Caenorhabditis elegans: one gene and its partner. The protein of the gene in region 1 purifies or fractionates together with the protein of each later gene. This does not show direct contact. Each region holds a gene or a part of one and is shown in the gene's direction. Other genes may lie near its edges. The genes, in order: mtx-2 and immt-1.

The links.
Region 2: the proteins of mtx-2 (region 1) and immt-1 fractionate together in Caenorhabditis elegans (co-fractionation; one large-scale study listed by BioGRID). This does not show direct contact.

What each region holds. Positions count from the first base shown.
Region 1 is NC_003281.10:7,761,265-7,765,604, reverse strand, and holds mtx-2 (Metaxin-2 homolog), read left to right. Parts: upstream 1-2,001; coding exon 2,002-2,101; intron 2,102-2,148; coding exon 2,149-2,268; intron 2,269-2,317; coding exon 2,318-2,487; intron 2,488-3,082; coding exon 3,083-3,235; intron 3,236-3,285; coding exon 3,286-3,525; 3' UTR 3,526-3,628; downstream 3,629-4,340. Other genes in the region: Putative ATP-dependent RNA helicase ZK686.2, read left to right, coding at 40-393, 442-865, 994-1,562, 1,610-1,772. UniProt on the Caenorhabditis elegans protein: Involved in transport of proteins into the mitochondrion.
Region 2 is NC_003284.9:2,682,084-2,689,017, reverse strand, and holds immt-1 (MICOS complex subunit MIC60-1), read left to right. Parts: upstream 1-1,833; 5' UTR 1,834-1,860; coding exon 1,861-1,878; exon of another isoform or gene 1,879-1,942; coding exon 1,943-2,031; intron 2,032-2,077; coding exon 2,078-2,245; intron 2,246-2,297; coding exon 2,298-2,506; intron 2,507-2,551; coding exon 2,552-2,799; intron 2,800-3,267; coding exon 3,268-3,387; intron 3,388-3,437; coding exon 3,438-3,551; intron 3,552-3,980; coding exon 3,981-4,205; intron 4,206-4,272; coding exon 4,273-4,656; intron 4,657-4,742; coding exon 4,743-5,009; intron 5,010-5,692; coding exon 5,693-5,890; 3' UTR 5,891-6,264; downstream 6,265-6,934. Other genes in the region: T14G11.1 (Membrane-associated protein), read right to left, coding at 1-25; ser-7 (G-protein coupled receptors family 1 profile domain-containing protein), read right to left, coding at 6,871-6,910.

The sequences.
Region 1 (4,340 bases):
ATAGAATAATTCAATTGTAACTAAATTGATGATTTGCAGAGTAACGAGTTCCTGGGTTCAAAACGCCACTACTTTCTCAGCGACAATCGATTCTTCAACATCACAAAAACTTTCTCAAATTGAGCTTCCTGAGCATCTCACAGTCCCATCTGCAATTTCAACATGGTTTCCAGTTCAGTATGCCGTTCTTCCATCTCTTTTCTTTGAAATCCGATCACCACCACCACTACGTCCACGTGACGTGGCGATCGCAGCTCCAACTGGAAGTGGAAAGACAATTTGCTATGTGCTCCCAGTTCTGGCGGCTGTCGGGAGCAAACCATCCAAAATTCTACAAGCTGTTATTTTAGTACCAGTTCAAACACTTGTTGCACAAATTGTGGACGAGTTCAAGTATGTATTAAGTAACATTAAAATGTATGTTTTAATTCTGATTTTAAGACGATGGAATGACGAAAGTGGTGTTGCAAAAGTAGTATCACTTAGTGGAGCAAACGATTTTGAGAAAGAAGCTCGTCAATTGGCATCAGATCCTCCTAATGTTATCGTGGCAACTCCAGCGAGACTTGTGCAACACCTCACTTCAAAAATTCCACCTCCGATTGACCTTTCAAAATTAAGATTCTTGATTGTGGATGAAGCGGATCGAATGGGAAAGCTTATGAGAGAAGAATGGTTGGATTTAGTAGAATTCTTATGCGGTGGAATGGAACGAGTGGCTTGTTTAAAAGATATTATTAGACAAAGAAGAGCTCCTCAGAAAATTGTTCTGTCTGCAACACTATCGAAAGATGTGGAAGAGCTTCATCTATGGAATTTGTTCAAACCGAGATTATTTTCAGCAACAGCAGTTTCTGTAAAGGATGTGAGTGTTTTTAAAAATTATAAAAAGTACATCAGAATTCATTTTGATATTTTCAACCGAACCAAATTCGTTTTTTTTAAATCGTCATGCAAAATATTTTCGTTTATTTTACTTTTTACAATTTTCAGATCACATCTGGAATCCCTCAAGTTGATCATGTATCTGGTAGACTTGCCCTTCCTTCTTCAATCTCTCATCGCCTCGTTGTAACGGATCCAAAGTTCCATCCGCTAGCAGTTTATCAACAAATCACTAGAAATAAATTCAACAGGACTTTGATCTTCGTCAATGAAGTTTCATCATCAAATCGGCTCGCGCACGTTCTTAAAGAATTGTGCAAGGATCAGTTTGAGGTAGACTATTTCACGGCTCAGTTATTCGGAAAACGACGTTACAAAATGCTCGAAAAATTCAATAAAAATGAAAACCGAGTTCTGATCTGCTCGGACGTGTTGGCAAGAGGAACTGATTTGAACAAGGTTGATTGTGTCATCAACTACAATTTGCCTGCCGATGACAAACTATTCGTGCACAGAGCAGGAAGAACTGGAAGAGCTGGACAAGATGGATATGTGATTAGTGTTGGAGATAAGGAATCAAAGAGACTTTTCGTCAAAATGCTAAAAGTTACAAATTTATGGGGAGATACTGTAGAAGAGCAAATGGAAGAGTACATTTTTGAAAAAGATATGGATAGGTAAAAAATTAAAAATTAAACCTGAAATCATCATCAACATTTTTCAGATACTCAAAAGCTTTGGAAAGTCTCAAAGCAACTGTCTCGTCACAAGCGAAAACCGGAGGAAGCAGACAAATTGCTAAACGATCCGGATTTGAAGCAAAGAGAAAAAGTCGACCAAATGCTCGCGGAGAGAAGCCTTGGCTCAAAAAGAAGACGACCGAGTGATTCTATTTTTGTTGATTTCCTTTTTTTCTTGTTATTTTTATTGTTGAACTCAATTTTTTCATTGTTGGTTTTTTAAAGAATTACAGTTGTTTATTTTCATGAATATTCATTTTTTAAATATAAGTTTTCAATACTTTTTTTTCAATTTTTTACGGAGTGGTCTAGACAACCTTCTTAATACTTTGGAAATTCTAAATAATCAATTATACGCTTTTTTGCTCTTTTTCAGATGAGCAGCTCCGGGGTGATAACCCAATTGGTCACTGATGCCTTGTCGATGAATGCAGCTCAGGATTGGGAAGATGTATCTCTCTTCACACCTTATCTCAGTGAGCAGCCTTGGTGTTTTTTTTGCGAAATTATATAATATTTCCAGATGACCAAGCTCTCATGTACGATTTTGCTGATTGCCTCGCCGTTCAAACATTCCTTCGAATGACTTCATTGCCATTCAATGTTCGTCAACGACCGAATGTAGATTTTATTTCTCCTGATGGTTAGATATTGAAAGTACTGAAATCCTCGAATGCAGATATAATTTTAAGGAGTCGTCCCACTTCTGAAAATCAACAAAACTCTCATCACAGGGTTCAACGCCATTGTCGACTTCGTGCATAAGAAAGGAGTCACTCTTACATCACATCTCAGCGAAACGCAAGTTGCCGACATGAGAGCTAATATTTCGATGATCGAACATCTTCTTACCACTGTCGAGGTAATATTCAATGAAAAATTTATATATTAGACAATTATCGTCAAAATACTAAAAACAAAAAAAAAACCAAATAAGTCCCATCCCTGATTGTGCCACGTGGTTCCATTATTTTTCTAAAAGAATATTACTGTCAAAAAATAGAAAATCTGAAAATATTATTCATTTCGGCTGAAACATTTGAAAATGTTCTCAAAAATTGAATAAAAGTTGACGGACAAAGAAAAAACAATGCTTCAAAATCGGCAATTGACAACTTTCAGGGTATTTCCGAGAACTTTCTCAAATGATTCAGACAAAATTAATGTTAATTTCTATATTTTTATACAAATTTTAATTTAAAAAAATGATAGAAATTTGCCCAAAACAATTGCCGCTCGAAATATATCTTGAAATTTCGATTATTTTTCTTATTTTCAGAATTTTGTTAAATTATTTTATTGTTAAAACTAACGTTGGTAAAAATTTAGAAACTGTTTCCTAATTTTTTTAGGATTTTTTCCGAAACAATCAAACATTTTCGGTTTTTGATTATCTATTAAAAATGAAATAAATTGAAATTAATATAGCTGTTTAACTTTTAATTGAATTTTTTCAGAAGTTTGTACTCTGGAACCACGACGAGACGTACGATAAGGTGACAAAGTTGAGATACGGAAGTGTTTATCACTGGCCACTTTCGTCTGTCTTGCCTTTTGTTAAGCGTCGAAAGATTCTTGAAGAGTTGTCTGATAAGGACTGGGACACCAAGGTATGTAAATAGGTTATTTTTGAATTTCCCTTAAAACTCCTTTCTTTCAGACAATGGACGAAGTCGGTGAACAAGCCGATAAAGTTTTCCGTGCTCTCTCTGCTCAACTGGGAAGTCAAAAATATCTAACTGGAGATCTTCCAACCGAAGCTGATGCTTTACTCTTTGGACATATGTACACATTGATAACTGTCAGATTGCCATTGACAAACATCACAAATATTCTGAAGAAGTACTCCAATTTGATTGAATTCACGAAAAGAATCGAACAACAGTATTTCAAGCAGTAATTTTAGAATTTTTTCGTTTGAGAAGTGTATAGTAGTTCAACTATGATTTTATGGTGTGTTCAGATTGTTCTTAAGAAAAACGAATAAATTTTGATAATATATGTTTAACAACTTTTTAGAGTTACGCGATAATTTTTTTTAACTTGAAACATGAATATTTCAAAGCTTCAATATAAGATCCAATGAAAGAAAACTAGAAAAATAGTTATATTCTGTGGAGCTCGAATTTACGGTTATGATTCTTGTGGTTGCAATGTTTATAGATGTCGTTGTCATCACTTCTGGCTCTTTTTGTACATTTGACAAGCTGGCATAATTGTTCTTTTGACAGTTTCTCTGTATAGCTTCAAGTTATTTATCTTGACTTTTGCCATTGCCGTCTTCTCCTATATGTTCACACTGTAATAGCTAGTGAGTTTTAAGTTGTTAGTGATGTATGAAACCGCGTCATAAGTATACCGAAATCAATCGACAAGTGTGAAAGAAAATGTTGTATTAAGACAACATTTGTATTGATAATCAGCTTAAATATTGTATTAGTGAGGGTGATCTTTTAATTATTTAGTATTTCTTGCATAATAAATAGATTACTAAATCTATTCCTGAAAAATCAAGAAAAATCAAGTTTGAAAAATTTCTCATATTTGAAAAAAACGCAAAAATAATCGAATACAGAATGTATATTGAAAGAAACAACACCCATCGACTTTTTTTTTGCGATTTGTATGTTTTTTTAGAATTTTTTACTATTTTCCTTTAATATTTTCATTAATGCCTAGGTAGAACAAACACCTATAAGCATCGTATTCATCATT
Region 2 (6,934 bases), on another chromosome or scaffold:
ATGATCCAAGCTTGGAGAAAAACATTTTCTGGAAACGTCTAAATGGGACAAAGTAAGAGTTAAATAAGAAAGTAAAGAAAAGTTGACATAGAATTTTCTGTGACCCTGCCTCGGAATATTTATTCAATGTGCCTGCTGACGAAAAAAAAACACGAAAATGAAAAGAAGCAGCGAGCCCATCGAGCCCGAGGGAAATTGAGAAAAGAAAGAGAATCAATAGCGGCGGATGAGAGGGTGCAAACCCGAGGAAAAGGCAGCCCCACTCTCACTGCCACATCGCTTCGAGACCCTCGCTTCAAACTACGGTGAATATACTCTGCGTCTCTTAAGCATTGCTGGGCATGTTAAAATTCTTGCGCTTTAATAAGTTGTGTATGGTGACTGAGAATTTGTATATTTCAAAATTCTATTTGAATGGAAAGAGTTAATTGGAAGAAAAATGAAAAAAGAAATTGAAAATCAATTATTTTAAAAATAAAATATAAGTTCTAACACTACCAATTTCAAGTACACTGGCCTAACCAAACAAATGACCTTGGCGATTTTTTTTCAACATGAAATGCCCAGATACAAACACCATTTATCAATTGTACACTGGTTTCTAATGGTTTCTACTATTTTTTTAGTGCATTATCAATTTTTAAAAATTTCCGGTAAAGTGTACATATCAGGGGTGCGCGGCAATTTCGGCAAATCTACAAAATGAGCCAAAATGAGCAAAAAGTGATATATTTTATTAAATGTTAAAAATAAAATATAGAAAAACACTTTTTTTTTAATCTAAAAGTAATGTTTTATTTAATATGAAACAACTGTAAAAATGCTCAAAAATAGTATGCAAGTTGAAAATTGCCGGAAATTATTTTCCATAATTTGTGGGATATTTTTCCGGCTCTTATTAAATTAGAGACAATTTCTAAGCAGTTTTTTATTTTTATTTTTATGAATTATATTAAAGATGTTTTCAAATAAAGCAAACATTTTTCTGAAGTTTAAGGAAATATCTGGTACTATATGCTGCACTTTTGCTGCACTTTTTTGCGTACAAATGTTGATTTCTAAATTGAAAAGTTACACAGAACAGTAAAAATTCATGTTGCATAAAATTTTAGGACGTTTATGGCACTTCAAATATCTTTAAATTTGGCCACTTTTCCAAGTCGTAGTAATCCAAAGCTGCTATTTTAATACTATAATTTTTTCCTATCGGTTTTAAATGTATTTTAATTAACAAAATTACGGTACTTCTGTAGTGTTTACAATTCTGAAAAATTAACGTTACCCTTTTTGTCGATATTAGGCTTAGGACTAAAGTTTTTTTAAGCTTAAAAATACAACCAAATTCCGCGTTTTGATTAAATAATCACTTTTAAAAGTGTTGGAAAATTTTTATGGACCAGGTGTGCGATACGGAAAAATGGCCGAAATTGGAGATTTCACTTGAAATACGTTTTTTTTTCGAAATTTTCAACCGGCAAAAACTACTTTTTGAAAATTTTTAATGAAGTTTCATTATAAAATTCGTTTATTTGAGCTCATTTTGGGTTTATGCGTTCAAAATGTCCCAAACGTTTAATGCATCGGCAATTTCCCTTTGTTTCCCTGCCACACTCTTCCAATGCCTCCCCACACAGCCATTCTTCCCGTCGTCCCGTACGCACTTACAAAAGATACACAGACATCGATTGCTGGCGCGTTTCTCGTGCATGACGCGCAACTTAATCTTCGAACACTAAACAATATGTTTATTTCTTTTTCGATTGCACTCTCTTGATTATTTTGATTTTTTCTTGATTTATATAAAATTTCGTTGTAAAATTTATTACTTTTTAGGTAAATTATTCGCTGCTCGTCGCGGAAATGTTTCGTATTGCATCGGTGAGTTTTTTTTTCATTAAAAAAATGCAATTTTTAGTTTAAATGTATAATTTTTTCATTTCAGAAGCGATCAGTCAGCCAGACGTTGAAAAGAGCCCGTCAACAATCAAATCAAGCCGCTGCTCCACCGAAGCCACCAGTTCAACCACCAAAGTAAAACATACACCAAAATCGATAATAAAAACGCGTCGTATTTCAGAAAATCCGGAGGTGGCAAAGGATTGGCTCTTGTCGGAGCAACCGTTGTTGGAGCTGGTGGTGTTGTCGGATACGCGTATGTCGACCCTGAGTTCCGTCACAAAGTCGAATCCACTGTTCCGCCAGTGAAACAAGTTTTCGACGCAGTTTTGGGAGAATCTAGCTTGCAGTAAGCTTTATTTACTAAAAAAGTGACAGTCTTAACGATAATCCTTTTTCAGGAAGACAAAACAACAGATCGGTGACCTCAAGGATGCTGTAGTGAACGCTGTCCCAAAAAAGAAGGAAGTTCTTCCTCCATTGGAGCTCGCGCCACTGCCGCCTGTCCTTCCAAGAGAGCCCACACATGTTGACCCAGTGGATGTTCGCAAAGATGTGACCCCAATGATCCCAAAACCTTCTCCAGATGTCGTCTTTGCCAAGAACCAACGTAAGATTTTTTAAGCGTAATTTTCATAACAGTTTAAAGTTACAGAACTTGAGGAGAAGCTTAAAATCGCAATTCACTCTGCTGAAGGAAAAGTGCGTTTAGCCACTGAGGCCAAGCTGAAGACCATCAATGCGATCAATGAGCATGCCAGTATTCTCAAGCAAACCGTCGATGATGCTAAGCACGCCAACTGGGAAAACGTCACTTCTGCTCTTCAAAGAGCCGAAGCTGAGGCACGCGTCGACAGTGGCCAAGAGGTGGACGGGAGAAACTACATTGATAACCTTCGCAAGGTATCTTTTGGTACAGCCTAACACCCAAAAAAAAATTTATGTTTGAAATTTTGAACCGCAATGACACAAAATTTTTAAATTTTTTGAGAAACTTCATTGCGAAATTCTTTTAATGAGCACATTTTGGTCTTACACCTTCATAATAAAATACCCAGAGTCGTTAGACCATTGGAAACTAGGACTTGACTAAACCGGACTAAATCTGTCGTCCGGTCTGCGGAAGTTCGGCTATCTAGTGCCTGTTTTTGAACTGCTACACAAGTTATTATGTGACAGGTCCTATGATTTTTGTCTTGTTGCAATACTTCGACCCTGTTTTTTTTTCAAAATTTGTAAAAAGGACCTCTTCCAAGCTCATTTACGAAAAGGAATTAAATGCAACTGAAAATAGAGACGCTTGTTTAATATTTGATTAAATGCAAATTTTTAATAATAACTATTTATTTTTCTCAATTCGGACATTTACAGATTGTGAACGATGGAAAGCGAGATTCAACTACCGCCACAAATCCGCTACTTCTGAATGCTCAAGAGACTGCTAATAAGCTTTCTCATCAGCTTGATGAGATCAACGCATTGGTCAACAAGGTATTACATGCATTGGCACTTTTACCAAAAATTGTCAAAATTGTTTTCAGTCTCGTCAAGAATCTGCAGTCCTCAATCAGTACAAGGATTTGATTGAGAAGTCTCGTCAACAGTTTGCTCTTGAGATGAAGAGCATCTTGCCAAATGTTGATATTCACGCTAAAGTGAGTGACGAAAAAAATAGAAGGAATGGAGTCCATCCTCGGTTTTTTATAAAATAATGAATTTCTGTAATAGGCTCAAATGAGCCTATGATTTTGCTAAGGTGCATTTATGAAATTTTTGTAGTCAAAAGCAAAAATTATATTTATAGTTGATATGTACTCTCGGTAAAGTCAGAAGAATACAACATACCTTTAGTACAAATAGTTACAGTACAAATATATTTGAGATCACAATTTTTACAATTTTTTATAGATGCTGACTGATTCAGGAAGATATTTCAGCTGAGGATTTGATAGGAAAGGCTTCTGTTATTTTTCACAAATTGAAAGTCGAATATCAAACGTTTAAAATTTTTGACTAAACGAAAAGCCTTTTTGACATTGTTTCCTAAAATACAAATTTGAAAGTTCACATAAATTCATTTTCAGGACAAAAATCTCAACGAAGACGAACTGAATGCATTGATCGCTCACGCTCATCTCAAAGTTGACCAGCTTCGTTGTCAGCTTTCGGATCAGCAAGTTCGCGAGGAACTGCACATCTCAAAGGCTCTTGAAGAGCAGCGACTTGCCGATGAGCGGATCGCGTCTGAAAAATTGAGCATTGAGATGAGCCGTGTTGGCCGTCAGAATGAGTTGGAAATCGAACGAGCTGTAAGTTTGTTATCAAATTTGGGGTTAAAAGTTGTTTTTCCTCAAATATTCCACTTTTTGATTTCAGCTTGTGGAAAGCCGTTCATCATGGGAAGGTGAGCTGGAGAATCAATTGAAGCGCACCGCCTCGGCTCACTCTGAGCACTTGGAGCAAGTCATCCGGACTCAGAGACAACTCTTCGAGATTGAACAGAATCAGAAGGTAGAGGAGGCAGTTTTGCAAGAGCGCAATCTTCACAGCAAGCAAGTTGGTGCTGCGTTGAGCCGACTGGAGGGAATCGAAGAGGCTCTCGGAAGCCGAGTTGCTCTTGACAACGAAAACCGTCGCGCCAAGCAGTTCTGGATTGCGTGCCATAATTTGATTGACACTTTGAAACATGGTAACAAGGCCGGAAACAACATTGATGAGAGAAGACTTCCATTGAACGAGTCTTTGAATCTTCTCAAGGAGGTTAGCGAGTTTGTCAACGAAATCAACTTTTTTACATTTTGTTACTATTCTACATTTTCATTTTAATCTGAATTTATCGTTTTCAGGTCAATCCAGAAGACGAGTTTGTCAACGCCATCATCGACTCGTTCCCAAAACAAGCGACCACAGTTGGCACATACACTGAGCAGGATCTCAAAAACCGCTTCGAGCAACTGTACAAGATTGGTCGCAAGACTGCTTCTATCGATGAGAACGGAGGAACCTTAGGAGCCTATTTCTGGTCGTACGTCAAATCCCTGTTCCTCGTGGATATGCCACAACAGTATGGAAATTTAGATGCTATTGATGTGAACAACACTGATAACTATGAGGTGAGGATAGATTTGAGTACAGAATACATTAGAGTGGGTCATAATTATGCGGATACGTAAACAACTCTGCTCTGCAACCCCTAGGTGATTGAACATGATACATAAAATTGTATAGCTCACATATTCCATAAAAATCTGGTCATGATTCCATTTAAAAAATTTAAAAATATTTCCATCCACGTTGCTCCTGACTCTTAGAAATTTTGAGGTTGGATTTTTGGCAGCAGATTAGCAGATCACTTTTGGCGTTTTCCACTGTTTTTTTTTTAGAATCCGGCAGAAATTCCGTACTTTTATAAGAATACTCCAGATTGTGAGATACGCTCGTATGACTTCGTGGTTGATTAGTAGTCATGTTAAATATCATTAAAAATATGTCAGCTTTAAGTAACGTAATGAACCCACGTTTAAAAACTGTCAGGTTTGTAAAAATCGGGCTTTTGTCTTCATAACTCGGGTCTCTATAAATATGACCCCGTTGTGAAAAATAAATTTGATTCGAATGGCAACATTCTTATTCCGATCAAAAAAATCAAAATTCTTATCTCATAATTTTTATTAAAATGCTTGTTCTTTATTCCGAGAGCTTCCCAGTCCCGTACGATGTCCGTACAAAAAATATCAAGTTTTTTTAAAATTAGAATTCAAACGTTTTGTAAGACTAGTGAAACATTTTTGTTCAGATCCTTTCCCGCGCCAAGCAGTACGTACACAATGGTGATCTCGATAAGGCGATTCGCGTTGTTCAACTTTTGAAGGGTCAGCCAGCTCATCTTGCTCGTGACTGGATCGTCGACACCCGCTCCTACCTCGAGTCTCGCCTTCTCGCCCAGCTTCTTGTGGCTCACGCCGCCGTCTCCTCGATTCGCTCAACTTATTAGAACAATTGATTGTCTTGCGTCACCGTTTTTTAAAATTGTGTTCTACTGGTTTTCACTACACTCATTTTATTTTTCTCTATTTCTCACCCTATTTAAAACGATCCAAATGTTTTAAAAACGTTTTGCTGCTAGTAGTATTGTGTGTGTGTCTTTTAGAAACCAATTTCTTGTTGGTAGTTTATAGTAGATGGGTGTGTGCACATTTTCTCCCCGTTTTTTTTTCCAAACTCTCGCCGTCAATTTTTTCCAAGTTTGTGTAGTTTTTCGAACCGTCGATGTATTGAATAAATGTGAAAATTTTACAATTTTTTACCAGAAATAAGTATGATTTGTAGAAGTTTGAGACAAACAAATAAAGAATCTCTAGAAGTGCAGTTGCGGCAGTTGGGGAAATTGTTAAAAGTCACACTTATGGTGTCAAAAGGAAATTCATTTGTTTTTATACAATTTTTAGACATCGGGTGGTTAACAAATTGATCCAAAAGACCGAATTTACTAATGAGATATTTTAAATGATATCCAAAAAAATTTTTGAGGTTTAAAAAAAATAAAATTTCAAATTTGAACAATTTATCCGTCTATGTAGTTGCGATTTTACAAAAAAAATTACATTTTTGTCGTAATTTCAAACTGCCGAAACAATTTTTTTTCTAGTCAAAGTTTTGGCGAATTGCTATACTTTTCAAAACAATATGTAACCAACATTTTCTGTTTTGATGGACTTCCAAAATTATAGGTTGTTATACTGTCCAATACATTTATTCAGAAGTTATAAAACTTTATACAAAGTTGAGGCAATAGGTGTCACACACCTTCTGAAATGCACATAATTGCAATGCTAGAAAGCATGAGAAGCATTATACAACGGGAGAGGAAAGTCACGTAACCTTACTTGTGTACCGACAAATTGAAAATGAGAATAAATCAGATGAGAAAAAAATAGTTAATAAATTATGAAATGGTACATAATGTGTAGTGTGCTAGACGTCACTTGCTTCGTGACTGTCATTGCGTCGAGATCTGAAAATATCATACGTACAATTT